2 linked regions of the Caenorhabditis elegans genome follow. The protein of the gene in region 1 purifies or fractionates together with the protein of each later gene. This does not show direct contact. Each region holds a gene or a part of one and is shown on either strand. Other genes may lie near its edges.

What was found.
Region 2: the proteins of madd-4 (region 1) and nrx-1 purify together in Caenorhabditis elegans (co-purification; one study listed by BioGRID). This does not show direct contact.

Annotation. Positions count from the first base shown.
Region 1 is NC_003279.8:8,937,837-8,945,518, reverse strand, and holds the start of madd-4 (Protein madd-4), read left to right. Parts: upstream 1-3,231; 5' UTR 3,232-3,314; coding exon 3,315-3,428; intron 3,429-3,470; coding exon 3,471-3,632; intron 3,633-4,168; coding exon 4,169-4,285; intron 4,286-4,331; coding exon 4,332-4,443; intron 4,444-4,493; coding exon 4,494-4,695; intron 4,696-4,951; coding exon 4,952-4,957; intron 4,958-5,241; coding exon 5,242-5,380; intron 5,381-5,850; coding exon 5,851-6,050; intron 6,051-7,682. UniProt on the Caenorhabditis elegans protein: Component of an extracellular matrix cue that is involved in the guidance of dorsoventral midline migrations and in the specification of postsynaptic domains at neuromuscular junctions (NMJs).
Region 2 is NC_003283.11:10,822,145-10,828,023, reverse strand, and holds the start of nrx-1 (Neurexin-3-beta), read right to left. Parts: upstream 3,001-5,879; coding exon 2,882-3,000; intron 2,831-2,881; coding exon 2,675-2,830; intron 2,337-2,674; coding exon 2,273-2,336; intron 2,180-2,272; exon of another isoform or gene 1,963-2,179; intron 1,909-1,962; coding exon 1,741-1,908; intron 1,698-1,740; coding exon 1,598-1,697; intron 1,152-1,597; coding exon 1,078-1,151; intron 1,012-1,077; coding exon 897-1,011; intron 769-896; coding exon 608-768; intron 281-607; coding exon 122-280; intron 1-121.

The sequences.
Region 1 (7,682 bases):
CAAAAATGAGGTTTTTGTTTTTTTCATAAACACAAGACTATCAATAACATGTAAGTAGAATTGTTCACAATGTATAAAAACAATCAGTTGTATTTTACCAGAAAATTCAATATTTTTCTTTCCCTCTAACTTCCTGTCTTTTTATCCGTTTCTTTCTTTGGTGTTTATCATTGGAAAGAAATTTCTTCACTATCGTTATAAATTGTTCTGTCTACTGTACCTGTCTGAAAATGGGCTAAAACATGCCGTACGCTAGAAAACTTTCCAGACCTGAAAAACGTAAAAATTGTCCGTGCTTTATTTCTCGTTTTAGCCAATTCTTCTTCAATAAATCGTTGTGGACCAAGTGTTTGTCTGTCCTATACTGATAATCCTTTACCTCCTGTACCCATAAAACTAATCTCGGTTGTCCTTCCAAAAAGATCCATAAAAAATAATGTTTTCCGGTCCCTTTGAAAATGCACGGCAAGAAAAAAGTAGAATAGAAAAATAAAACAAGGCGTCAAAATCAGTGTAGAAAAAAAAGTGGCGCCTTTTTGCCGAAAAGAGAGTGTCTTTTTGCTTCTTCATCTTTTTTTGTGTAATGGGTGAGGGGACCAAAGGAAAGGAGTGAGGAACAACATTTATAAGAATGCTCGAGGAGCAGAACCAGCACATCCTCTTCTTCATGCTCCTGCTCTTGGAGCCGCCACCCCGCCAACTTCTCCTCTTTTTTCTTTGTCTTCCGGAGTCCTTTGGTTCTCCTGGGACCTCCTTCTTCCCTAAAACTAACACAGAGTCTATATATTCATAACTTTTCTTTTCGTTGGATTCCCGAGCCAGTTTTTAGCCATCCCACTGACTGGAACTCCCATAACTTGGTCTTGTGTTCCTCGTCTAGGCATTTCCCGTTGAAAAACCAAGATTTTTTGCATTTTTTAAACAAAGCTCCCTTCTTTGTTTTGTAGGAGGGAGGAGCTGTAACCCGATTTAGAAGAAAAAGTCAGCGCCCCTACAAACAGGAAGACCTTAACTAGGTTCCCTCTGTTTGGCAGTATTTCAACAAAATTTTTTCAAAATTTTTCAGCTTCTATATTTTAATAAACAAATTTTTCATAACTTTTTTAAATGAAGTTTACTTACTGTAATTTTCATATCAGACTCGCACTATCTGTCAAAATCCGCCAAAGTTAGTTTACTAACTTCCAAATTTAGAACCATTTTTGGGGCACAATGTTGTTCAAAAGTTGTTTGTTTCCCGTTTCCTTGTTTTTTAAAATTTATCCAGATATGTTTATGAAATTTAAAGTATTTTATGATCCAGGTCGATTTTAGACAATTTTCTAATCGACGTCGACGTATGCCGAAGCTGGGGGTACCTGCGTCGATTAGCCTGACTTCGGCGTCGATCAGAATAGATTTACCAGAGTTTAGTGAGAAATGTGTTTATGTTTTCATAAAAACCCAAAATTCAGACGTCAGAATTCAAAAACCTTCCCCTTCAAATTTTAAAAGAAAATGAGTTGTAGTCGCAGAATATGTTACCTGAAAAGAAGTAGGGGTGACTCTATTGTCTTTATTTCTTTTTTCTTTTTACAATTTTTCATTCTCACTTTTTTTTTACTTTTCAAGTTTGTTCAATAGTCTTCTGCAAAAATATTTCAGTTATAATAGTTGTGTTTTCCAAAAAATTAGTTCAATTCTTTTTTTTTGCAGTTCTTCTTTGTTTTTCCAGTCATGTCCTCATTCCATAAATCCCATTGGTCGTCGATTTCCCATTTTGAATTGCCCCTAGTTTTCCGATTTACTGCATTTTTCAAAAAAAAAGAAAAAAAAACGTTTACTATTGAATACCTATGCCTGGTTGAAAGAATGGGTTTTGTCAGACACTGGTTAACCTTTGCTCAGCTCTTTTTTTGAAGTTTGTAGTTATCGTTTTTGGAGTTTTTATTACAACCTGGTATCATGAATATTTTTTCTCTTCCATTTTCATTTTTCCTTCCCAAGTGTGCTGCCCGAGTCTATTGGAAGTCAGAATACCAACGTGTTCCTTGACACTTTTTGATTTGATTTCCACATTTTTTCCTACATTCTCCTCTTCTTTTGGCTTTTCTTCTCTCCTGAGCAACGAAGTTTAACCATTGCAATATTTGTAACTTTCATATAATAAGTAGTGGAGTTTTTGAATTGATTAAAAAGTTTTTGAATTGATTTGCATCATGGTCTAAACGAATAAAACTTCTCCAAGAGACTCCTCAAAAAGCTTTCAATAACGTAGTTGTTGTTCAAAATTAAAAAAAAATTACAAAACTTGTGTTCCATCGACTAAGATGGTACCTAAATTCCAAAAAAAAAAACGAGTAATAAATTACTAAACTGGAAAATTTGGCATATATTCCAGGTAAATTTAGCCTGTTTCTTTCAGATAATTTTGAGTACATTGAATAAATTTTGTTACTACCTCTATCCCGGCTCGCCATTCGCCTTGTTGCTTCCTATCAAAAACTTTTGTCTAGGAGTTACTCAACACGACTTATCAATGAATTGCTAATTTTAGAAATAATTACTAAAAAATGTTGGAATGGGTTGAGAAACCACATGTTCATAGGAGAGTAAATTTCTACGAATTCAAACTAATTTTGCCAAATATTTATTGTAATTTCTTGCTTTTTTTTGTTGATTGTTGGCCCACTTACTTAGTTTACGTTAATGTTTTTTTTCTCTACAGCTACTCTTTTTAATTAAATTTCTTTTTGTTTTAATCAGAGGTAAAGTGCTATAATTTGGCTCAACCAACTCACAGGTGATTCGCGGGTTTTAAAATACTTATGAAATGTAGTTCGCGCGCTTCTACAAGAGGCACCAGCGATATAGTAAAATACTTGCAAAATCGCAAATATTGTGCAAATTGCGATCACCGAGAGTCGCGATTACCAAAATACTGCTAAAATGTTAATGGTCCCGCGGCGAAATTCGCGATTTGCAAAATGCATCTAAAATATTGGAGGTCATAAGTATTTTACAAACGGCGAATCACCTGTGCTATTGTAAAGTGGAAAACTTCTATAACTATTTCTTCGAACCCTCTAATTTTCCTATCCAAAAAATAGTTGAAGCCCACATAAATCTTTTAATACATTTATCTCTATTTCATTCTTTCTCTTCTAACTGGTAATTTGAAATTCGAATATTTTCTTCAAGTTCCGGCATCTGTATATTTTCTTTTTATAAAACTTCCAAAAAAATATTTGCAGCCAAGGACAATTCAAGCGTTTGTTAATTTTTACACAAAAAAAGGAAAAAAAACAATGAAACAAAGTGTAAAATGAATGAAAATGAAGTGTTCATATACCGTAGTATTTTTACTATTTTACTTGCTTATTGCGAGTTTCCACGTGGATGCTCTTAGTTGGGCGGCATGGAGTCCTTGGAGTTCGTGTACTAAAACGGTAATCGGACAGAGAAGCTATTCAGAAAAAAAAAATTTTCAGTGTGGTGGCGGAGTTTCTCGTCAGTTACGACGTTGTTTGACATCAAAATGCTCAGGAGAATCAGTTCGATTCAAAGTTTGTGCTCAAAAAACTTGCGAGTCAAAATCTAGATTAGCTAGGGATACAATATGTGGAGGAGAGGAAATAGTCTCCAGGGGACAGGTATGTATGAACCACTTTCAAAATAATGTTTTCTTGTGAAGAAACATTTATTTAAAAAAAGTTTTTGTAGTAGTAGTCAAAAAATAATTTGGACAAATGTACCGAATAACCAAAAACGCAAAAACGTTCAGCCCTGCAGCAAGAGTGTTGTTTTTTCGATTTCTCAATTTTTTATGAATGTCGAAAAAAAAATTTCGGATTCTCAAACTATTAATTTTTTAACGGTCTAAATTTCAATAATATCCACATATCATGATACATAACATTCTAACAATTTTGTAAAAGTTGTGGTAAATTTCCAAATTTTCCAAAAATGTGGACTTCCTGAGAAATTTCGAGTTGTACTGCAGGTTTGAATCCCTAGAGTGTTTAAATATAAACAATCTTTAAAAAATGCGGAAAACTGAGTTTTCAAGTGTAGATTTAAAAAAGCCAAATAATTGTTGAAAAGTTTGAATTTTTTTTGAAAAGTTTGTGAATCATACATGAACAGTTTTCAAGCACCTATAAGTGAAAAAATAAGAACTAAAATTCAGTGCGAAGTGGTATGCCGATCACGCTTAACTGGTGCAAATTTTCTTTGGAGAGTTGATGATGGAACGCCGTGTCAGGCCGCAACAAGTAGAGCTGTCTGCAGTAAAGGGTCTTGTCAGGTTACTAAATATAATTGTTTTAATTATTATTTTCCCCAAATTTCAGATCGTTGGCTGTGACGGATTGATTAGTTCATCTTTTCGATTTGATGCCTGTGGAGTATGTGGAGGACGAGGGGATACGTGTGACAATGGAAAGTTCATTTGGAAAGTTTCCGGTAGAATTTTAAAGATTTACAACAATCACTCAAAACACTAAGATTTCCAGAAGAATACACTGCATGCGCTTCAAATTGTGATGATATAGTTGACTGGTCAGGTGCTGGACGTTCAATTGCTTCAACTAGTCAACCAATTGTTGTATGTGTAAATGCAATAACTGGAAGAGTTGTTCCTGAAAAGTTATGTGCTGATAAATTGAGACCGAAAGTTGAAGCAAGACCATGCCCAATGCTGATTTGCCCTTCAAGGTTTGAAATTTTAAATTATTTTATATTTATGCTTAAGTGCATAGTTTCGTAAATAGTTTTAAATTCTAGTTGTTGTCTGTACTTTTTGAAAAGCACAAACCTCTAAAAAACAAAAAACCGAACTCAAATTTCTGTTAACTTTTGTATTTTAATAATTTGAATTGTTTTTGAATATCCAATTTCCTTTTTCAAGAAATATTCTTTATATCGTTTCCTAAATTAGATTTGCTAATTTGATTTTAATTAATAATTTCAGATGCCGGTGAGTTTTTCCAAAAAGATCCCAAATCAGGGTGTGGTAAGCTGAAAGAGTGTGCCCCATAAGAATGACGGGGATTATTGATTTTTTATTTTTTCTCAATTTATTTTTGTTTTCTATATCACATTCACTTCTATTTGAATTTTCTCGATAAATATTTTTATCGTTTAGGAATGGCTAAGTTCAATTTTTAGATAATTTGAGACTGACATCTCTTTGCTTTATTAGACGCTGTGTGTCAATTTGAATATTTATGGATTTTGAAGTAATGAACTGAAAACTTGCAGATGGATGGCTGCAGACTGGACAGAATGTGTACCACATTGTGGTGAAGGGACAAGAAAAAGAGAGGTTTACTGTGTACAGACGGCGCATAATGTTACAGTACATGTTCCTGATACCTTCTGTGAAAATGGAACAAGACCGGTTAGTTGTTAAAAGTTTTAGCCATTGTTTCAGATGTTAAGTAGAGATCTTCTTATTAATGCTTGAGCGGAGCATTCTCAAAATGTTTTCAAAACACCAATTTTAATAATAACACCTCTTGAAATTTTCAGAAACATTTTTATGGCGGTTAAAAAATTTGTTGAAAAATTGTTTTTTTAAGAGGTCTTTTTTTGAATTTCGGCCTATAGGGTCAGTATAAAGAATACGCTACTCCAGATTTGACTTCAAGTATTTTTCCAAAAAATATATTGTTTGGGCGAAAACGTTTAAAAGCCTTGCCACTATAATTGTATATATTGTTTTTCTGTTACAGACGCAAATTTTCCAGATTTCTTAGCGTTATCATCTGCCTTTTTAAAAAACAACTTTCCTAAATTTTTTTGTTTACTTGCATGTTTCAGAAATAATTTAGAAATCTCTCTAAAACTTTCCTGAATGATAACTTTCAGGCAGCCGAAGAAAACTGTGTATCAACATCATGTGGACGATGGGAAGCCGGAAAATGGTCAAAATGTACAGCTTCGTGTGGCCAAGGAGTGCGACGACGTCACGTGGCATGTGTTGGAGGTTCAGATTGTGATGAAGGAGGACGTCCAAGACAAGAGACAACATGTTATGCTGGAATACCATGTAGTATTGCAACAAATAGGTGAGCTCCATTAAGAAGTGGAGAATTGGTAAAGGCACTTTACGCCAAATCATTAGGTAGAATGTGTGAGCGTAAAATGATGAGATTTGCAACAACTTTTTTGAAACTGAAATTGCTGGTTTTTACATTAAAAAAAAATTCAACTTCCAAAAAATGGTATTTTTCATTTAATTCTAGCCTACATAAAAGTTAACAGCTTGCCAAAATTAGTGTACGAAGCAAATTTTACAAGCTCGACAAACTCAACAAGTTTCGTTTGGTACTTGCTAAATGAAAATACTTGCTGTTATATTATTTAAAAATTGTATAGTCTAGAAAAGAATTTCAGATCTACATAATTATTTTTTAATCGAAGCTTTACTATTCATGTCTAAAAGTTCGATGTAAAACGAGTAAGTTGAGCAATCCCCCTTCTACACACAACTAACAGTTTCTTCAATATACACATTTTGTCCATTTGTACTCTTTTTCGGAATTTCTCATCAATCACATTCCTACTAAACTTCTTCCTTTTTGTCTTCCATTACAAATTCAGTGTATTAAAGAACTCTTTCTTTGTAGAGATGACTCCATTTTCGTAGTTGTACTTGTACTTGATTCCAAGAGTGAGAAAGATTTGAAAAAAGGGATGAAAATAGGGAAGAGTAAGAAAAATTACTACTCGTCTTAACTTTAAGCTGTAAAAGGATGAGCGGAGTGGAATAGAGGGGGTAAAAAATGGTCGAATAGCAGGGATTATTGAAGTTACCCATGGGAGTTTATGTGAGAATGTTGCCAGTTTTTTGGATGAGAAAGAACTACGACAGGAAGTGACGAGGTTTACTGTATATGAGAAAAGGTACAGTGATAACTGAAACGCGTGTTTTCTTTTGTGAGGTCAGAAAATTCCATGTCTTGGTGGTCCCATTTCTATTTGGCGACGATACCTGAGACGCCATGAGTTTTTTCATTAGATCGTTTGTTTTTCACAACATGGTCTATCGTTTTTAGGAGCAAAATAAACCCATTGGCAATTTGTTCTGAAATATCCTATGGGATTTTGTGCATATTTTTTTACGCATGGGCGGAATAACTGCACTGAATTTTCACTGAATTACTTCTTCTCAAATTCTCAAAACTAGAAAAAAAAATTATAAACAAGTCCAGACCACCTAAATAATTTGAAAGGTCTACATATGTATCAATGACCCTGTGAGGCACGGAGTTATCGTCTCCCGCGGGTTTAAAAGCTAGACAAACTCGTTCAATCGTTTGATATTTCAAACAATTAAGATCTTTCGCCCTCAATTATTGAAAAACTCACCAATATTGGTATGAGAACATCACGCTCTAAAATCAAGCTTGAATGTGGTCCCCAGATAAATTGGAAATATAGGTCTTCAAATTTTGGAACTAGAACCGCCTTAAAAGACATCATTTTCAAATTTCAGTTTTGCAGCAAGGTTCTGCATTCTTTCACATTAAAGTGATATCCCTAGGCATAAAATAAACATACTAAACGGTTGGAGATTTTCACATCTTTTTTGGAAAAGTGCTTCTTCTTCTCCAAAATATTCTAAAACTACTACTATTGTTCTTTGCCGCTGCTCCTTTTCTTTTTGGCGACATTCAAGAGTATGTAGAAGCAACGTC
Region 2 (5,879 bases), on another chromosome or scaffold:
TGAATAATTGATTTTGGGAAGAAAATAAAAATTTTGATCTGGGGTTAGAGTGATTTTGGGCCGTGAACCGTTTGATTAGAAACCTTAAGATTAGAAGGGACTAATGAAATGTTTAGTTTACCATTTGAAGAGATCTCTCCAAAATTATTGTATGCCAGGAATCATCATCATATCTTTGAGATGGAAATGAATTGAACATTCGAATGATTCGAGCATCGGAGCCGTCAAATTTCGAAGAAGCGATTATAGCCCCATCTTGGAGCATTACGTGAAGATAACTCTGTAAATTCCTTCCAACTTTAATATTAAAAGAGAATAGAAAACTTTAATAAATCATTACTACGTTAGGAGAAAAAACGGTTGATTTGTTTTCACAACTTGTAGGCTTATATCTCTCTCTAGGCTTCTCTCGTTGAGCATGGTATTTCAAAATTGTACAAATAAAAGAAGCTCGGGTTAAAAATTAAAAAAAACGAAAAACTATTTTCTGAAGGAATGGGCAATATTTAATTTTAAGAACTCACTGTTATACTACTTTTATACTTCTAATTTTATTCTTCCAACGTTAAAAAAAAAAATCAAACTGTAATCAATTCAAATTAAATACCTTTTCATCTCCCGCATAAAACAACATAGATGTCCCATGTACAGTTTTGAATGTCAATGTTAGATTTTCTTTCTTGGCTCTCACTGCAGCTGATATATTCAATGAAACATCATATCCGACCCATTCATCACCTCCAAATGTTAATTCTCCGTCGTTTTTTTCTGAAACCAAAAAGAATTTTCCCACAATCTTTGGTTTCTTTGCTTCCGCTTGTGTTCTCTTTCAATTTCGTCACTATCCCGCGCAAAAATGAAAAAAATCTTATGGGAATGAATGAAAAAAGCATTACCAATTTCACAATTCCTTCCGTCATGATCAGAGAACTGGCAGTCACAATGTGGTCCATCATTTGATGAATAACATTCACCATCGTTGAGGCACACAAATTGTTCGCGTGAAGACATCTGGAGAATATAATTTTCAGAAAAATTTTATTTTTTCTTCTGAAAATATTTATGAAGAAAACAAACCGATTTTGACTTGCAATGGTCGTCTTCGTTGGTGCGTGTTCCAACTGATTCCAGAAGCTGAGGAGATGTGACACCTGAATAACAATTTATTATTTTTCCTTCCATTTTTCCTTTGATTTTCATACAGATGTATCACAACGAAGCTACAAATAGTGTGACTGAGAGATTTGGAACAGTAAACCAATTTTCATACGGTATTTTATCATTAAGTTTTGGATACTCTTTACATACACTATAAGGTACATACTTTTTAAGATTGATTACGTTTTCAGTGCAACCCATAAGATGATCAGAACACACTTCTAAATCCAAGAGGTCAGTGATTAAAGTGAATCAATACACACAAGTGAATCGGAATTACACTTAATACATATTCATATCCATAAAAATAACTAATTAGAAATGTAATTGGTAAAATTTCTTACTCTTTAACGACTTCATTATCTCGTTCAACTTGGTCAAGTCTTAAGACAGGAAGTGCTGAAAGTGTGGGACCGATGATCTTGATTCATTTACATACCTTGGGGATACTGGCGGTACATCAAATTGCGCACGTTGACTGCCAAATGACGAGCGTATCGACGAAGAGGAGAACTCATTACGGGAAGCATGTGCATATTCTGAATACAATCATTTCATACAGTGTTACATAATTAATCTTACTGGTGGTAATCCTCCAATGAAAACATCTGAATTTTTGAGAATGTTTCCAAATACAAAGCTTCGTTGATTCAGAATCTTGAAAACAAGAGTATAATCCAACTCCAGTTTCACATTTTCCCATGATTGAAATATCGTCAACGTATGCCATTTGTCGTCATCTATTCTAACCTGGAAAAAACCTTGATTTCACAAATATAAATTCCCCTGAAAGATTTTATATAACATTGCAACACCCTATTTTCTTCATCTGACACTTGTTCCTTTGTGACTTAAACCCTTGGGACGTGCTCTCGGAGCTCACTTAAAGTATAAAATATATGGGTTTGCAGTGGATAACGGCGGCATTGCTCGACTGCTCAAAGAACACCAAAATGTGTCGGAGAAAACTTGATTCGCAGATTTATGACCGTTGGGTATAAATAGACAAAGAAAAAGTAAAAAGGAAGTCGGAAATGATAGACTCGATTAGTATGTGGTCACAAGATGTACAATGTAGATTCATGATAAATTGAGATTTCACAAGAAAACTTACTTCTTCTATTCGAATTGTATTCACTGGTCGTCGTTGGCCAAATTCATTTGAATTGTCACCTAACCTAGAAATTAAAGAAAATTATATCAAGAAAATCTGAAATAGAATTCATGAGCCTGGCGAGCCCAACTGAACGTGTGACCGGTTTTAAGGATTCCGGACGATACGGAGTGCAGGTTTATTCGTGTTAAATGTTTTTTTTTTTAATTATTTTTTGAAAGTCAAAATCTGAAGATTTTGAAACACAAAATGAATACTCGAAAAATTGGGCGTCTGACTTGCTGTTCCAACATGAGGAGAAAAAGTACTAGGATTTTTATGGCAGTTTTATTAAAAAAATTTTCAAGCAGCTGTCAAGATTTTTTCATTACAATTTCTGGATTTCTTGGACAAAAAACTCACCTAAAGTCTAACTGAATATGACCTTCTACAATTGTCAGTGAATAAAAATTTCCATGAGTTCCACCATCGTCTGTGTACAGTAACATTCCATCGGATTGTCGTGTTTTCAATTCCATTGATAGCGAATTTTCGAATGAGTGCGCCCATTTTGGATACCTAAAAAATGGTCTATGAAGTTTCGCCGTATTCAAAAAAAAGTGAGCCCACCTCGCATAAGAGTCTGGAGCTCCAGTGAGAATAATTGAATCTACTACGCTGAACAATGAAACCGTAAAAACAAGCCATATCGTTAAGTATTGTCCAGTATCATCAAACTTTTGTCTCATTTTTGTCGCATCTGAAAGGATAGGAAGTTTGGTAGAGAAGAGCATGCACCAAAAGGCATACACATTGGGAGTTCCATTAAAAAGCGGAAAAAGAAAAAGGGAGGGGTAGGGGCACAAATCGGAAGATAAAGCCAGCATGGCAGGCGGCAAAGAAGAGTCATGAATAATTAATATTTACAATTGGAATATTTGAAACTACTTAGACTGAATTGGAATTCATAGATTTTTAGGTTTTTTGCAGGGGAAGAAAATCTCTGAAATCCTGTAAACCCTACTAGAAGAACATCGGAAAAAGTAGAGAAGAGTCGGGATTTAGAGAAAATGAAAAAAGGGAAAAAGGAGTGGGAGGCGCCAATTTGAATGGACGTTTTGGGAATGGGGATAGAGAAAAAGAGGACAGGTACATACTTTTTCAATTGCTCTTTTTTTGGATGAAACGGAAAGAATCGGGAAAGAACTACTTGGTCAAGTTGGAAAAACTAACTCTGATATGTGAAGTGTTTTTGATGTTCATAAATTGGAAAATTACAGTTTTCCTAATTGTTATGTGATGGTTTAAACTTTCTCAGACTATTAGTTCAAATGAATGTTTCTCAAGATGAAGAAAAAAGTTATTTAATTTGTTGAATGTTCTATTAAGAAATTAAAACAATGTATCATAGGAACTTGGGAAAAAGGGTGAGTGTGAACACGAGACAGGAAAGACAGGCATGTTTGTGCTTACAAGGAAGATTTTTAATGGAAGTTGTTTTTATGAACCTTCATAAAATAAATAATTCAAATATTAAAACTAGAGTTATCCTACTTTTTTGTCTGCATTTCAACTTTCCTCTCATTTTTATTCGTATTTTCTCATATTTTCCAACCAGGTATCAAATTCCAAAATGAAGCAAGGCACTACCGATCGGTAGTGGTTTTGTATAACAATTGCAATTGATCCCTCTATAAATAGTAAAATGCTTTCCTTGTCGTGGCAGTGACCTATCATTCATTCATTCACATTTTGAAACAAAGTGAACTTCCTTTTCAAAAAAAGGATGGATGATATTGAGACACGGAATTTTTTCAGAAAGGAAGGATAGTGGAAAAAAGAAAACAATTTGATGTAGACAAAGAAAAGAGAAAATAAAAATAATAATGAGCTATTTTAGCTGAAGTTGAAGCAAGTGAAAACAATTTTTTTTTTCGAGCAACCTGAGAATTTCGAAGGAAATATTTGGTTTGGTGAAAGCAACAAAAAAGCAAAGAAACAGAAAACAAAAGCAGTGTTTTGAAAAAATTAAAGACCAGACTGGTTCAGTAGGTCACACCAGGGAGGTGTTGCAACTAAAAAGTTGTCATAAATTATCTTTGAGACGTTTTCTTATTTTCTGCAGTCTGCAAAATTTTTCAGAGGTAGAGCTGCTTTTTGAACCACTTCTTGTCAAAATGTTTGCAGGAAATTCCCATAAGGCTATCTCTCAACTTTGTATTATGATCACAAACTAAACGATATCGAGACCATGAAAACTTATAAAGAAGTTACTCGATTGGATGAGTGAGAATCTCTAGTAGTGTATTTATGGGAAAACTACAAGTCCATCAAATAAAGAGGCAGAGCTTCCTCATCATTTGCATGAAATGAATGAGGTATGAGAAGAAGACTCTTTGGGTGCTCTTCTCTTATAATTATAATAACTTTTGATGACTTGAATTCTGGAAAACGTTTCCAGCTTTGCTACTTTTTTCTCGTAATCTTGGATACCTCTGAGATTATTACGAAATTCTTTGAGAATAATTAGCTTCGTTTTAGTCTTCAATTGAGGAAGATGGAAACAGCTACGTAGGTTTCTCAAGGCAAAATATCTCATTTTTTCTCTGAGCTTTCAATATTTTTTGTTTATGTTTACTCGTGATAAAGATGCCAGGAAAACATGATTTTTATTTGGAAAGCGACTGTTCTCTCTCTCAATATATTTCAATATTTCAGACTCCTAGAAATCAGATGTTTAAAAATGTCGAAGAAAAGACTGAGGGAATTAAATTTGAACGCAAAAAGACCTCTGTGGTTTCTTCTTTTTTGATTCCATTTTAATCGCATTTTCCGGATGGTTTCTCTGTTTCAGATGTAGAAAACGAAATAAAAAAGGACACACACATATAGGAACAGAAGAGATAAGATTCAAAGAATTGAATGGAATTTAATTTAGCGATGATGTCCCGAGATTTGTCAGCAATTCATGCGTGCTTTGTTATGCTGCTGCTCCAGTAGTAGAGAAACGATGGGCTTCTGTGCAGCAGCTCACACACATACACATAGACGAACTTTTAATCGTTTTGCCGAATCTCTTTTTCGGAACGAATTAGTGAAGATACTCTATAGCTTTAGACGATGAAGTCAACGAGTTTTCTTTCTTCACACATTGACGTGGGTTATTTAGTTTTTAGGCACCTCCCTGTCTAGGGAGAAATAGTTAGAGACTTAGGCATTAAAGGGGTTTTTAGTTTGAGAATTTCAGTGCTTAAAGTTTAATTCTACAAACTTTGCGTATTGTGACTTACAAGTTCCGCTAAATTTAAATCTATTATTTTAATTAAGAACTATAGGACATTGGAATTTTCATTGATACAGTTAATTTCAGGTTTCAAAAACAAAAACGAAAATTGAAAAAGTCTTTCATTTTCCGGCGACTAGGGAAAACAAAATTTTAGAAAGACGCACTTCAAAATTTAAAATGAAAAGAGAAACAGGAAGGAACACAAAACTTTGTTGCAAAAATTATGTTAGAAAGAAAAACGAAATAAAGGAAAATAATTAGAAATAGAGGAAACGAGAATTTATGGAAATGCCTATGTGCACGTTTGTATTTTGAGAGTTAGTGTTTCTTATAGAGATGGCA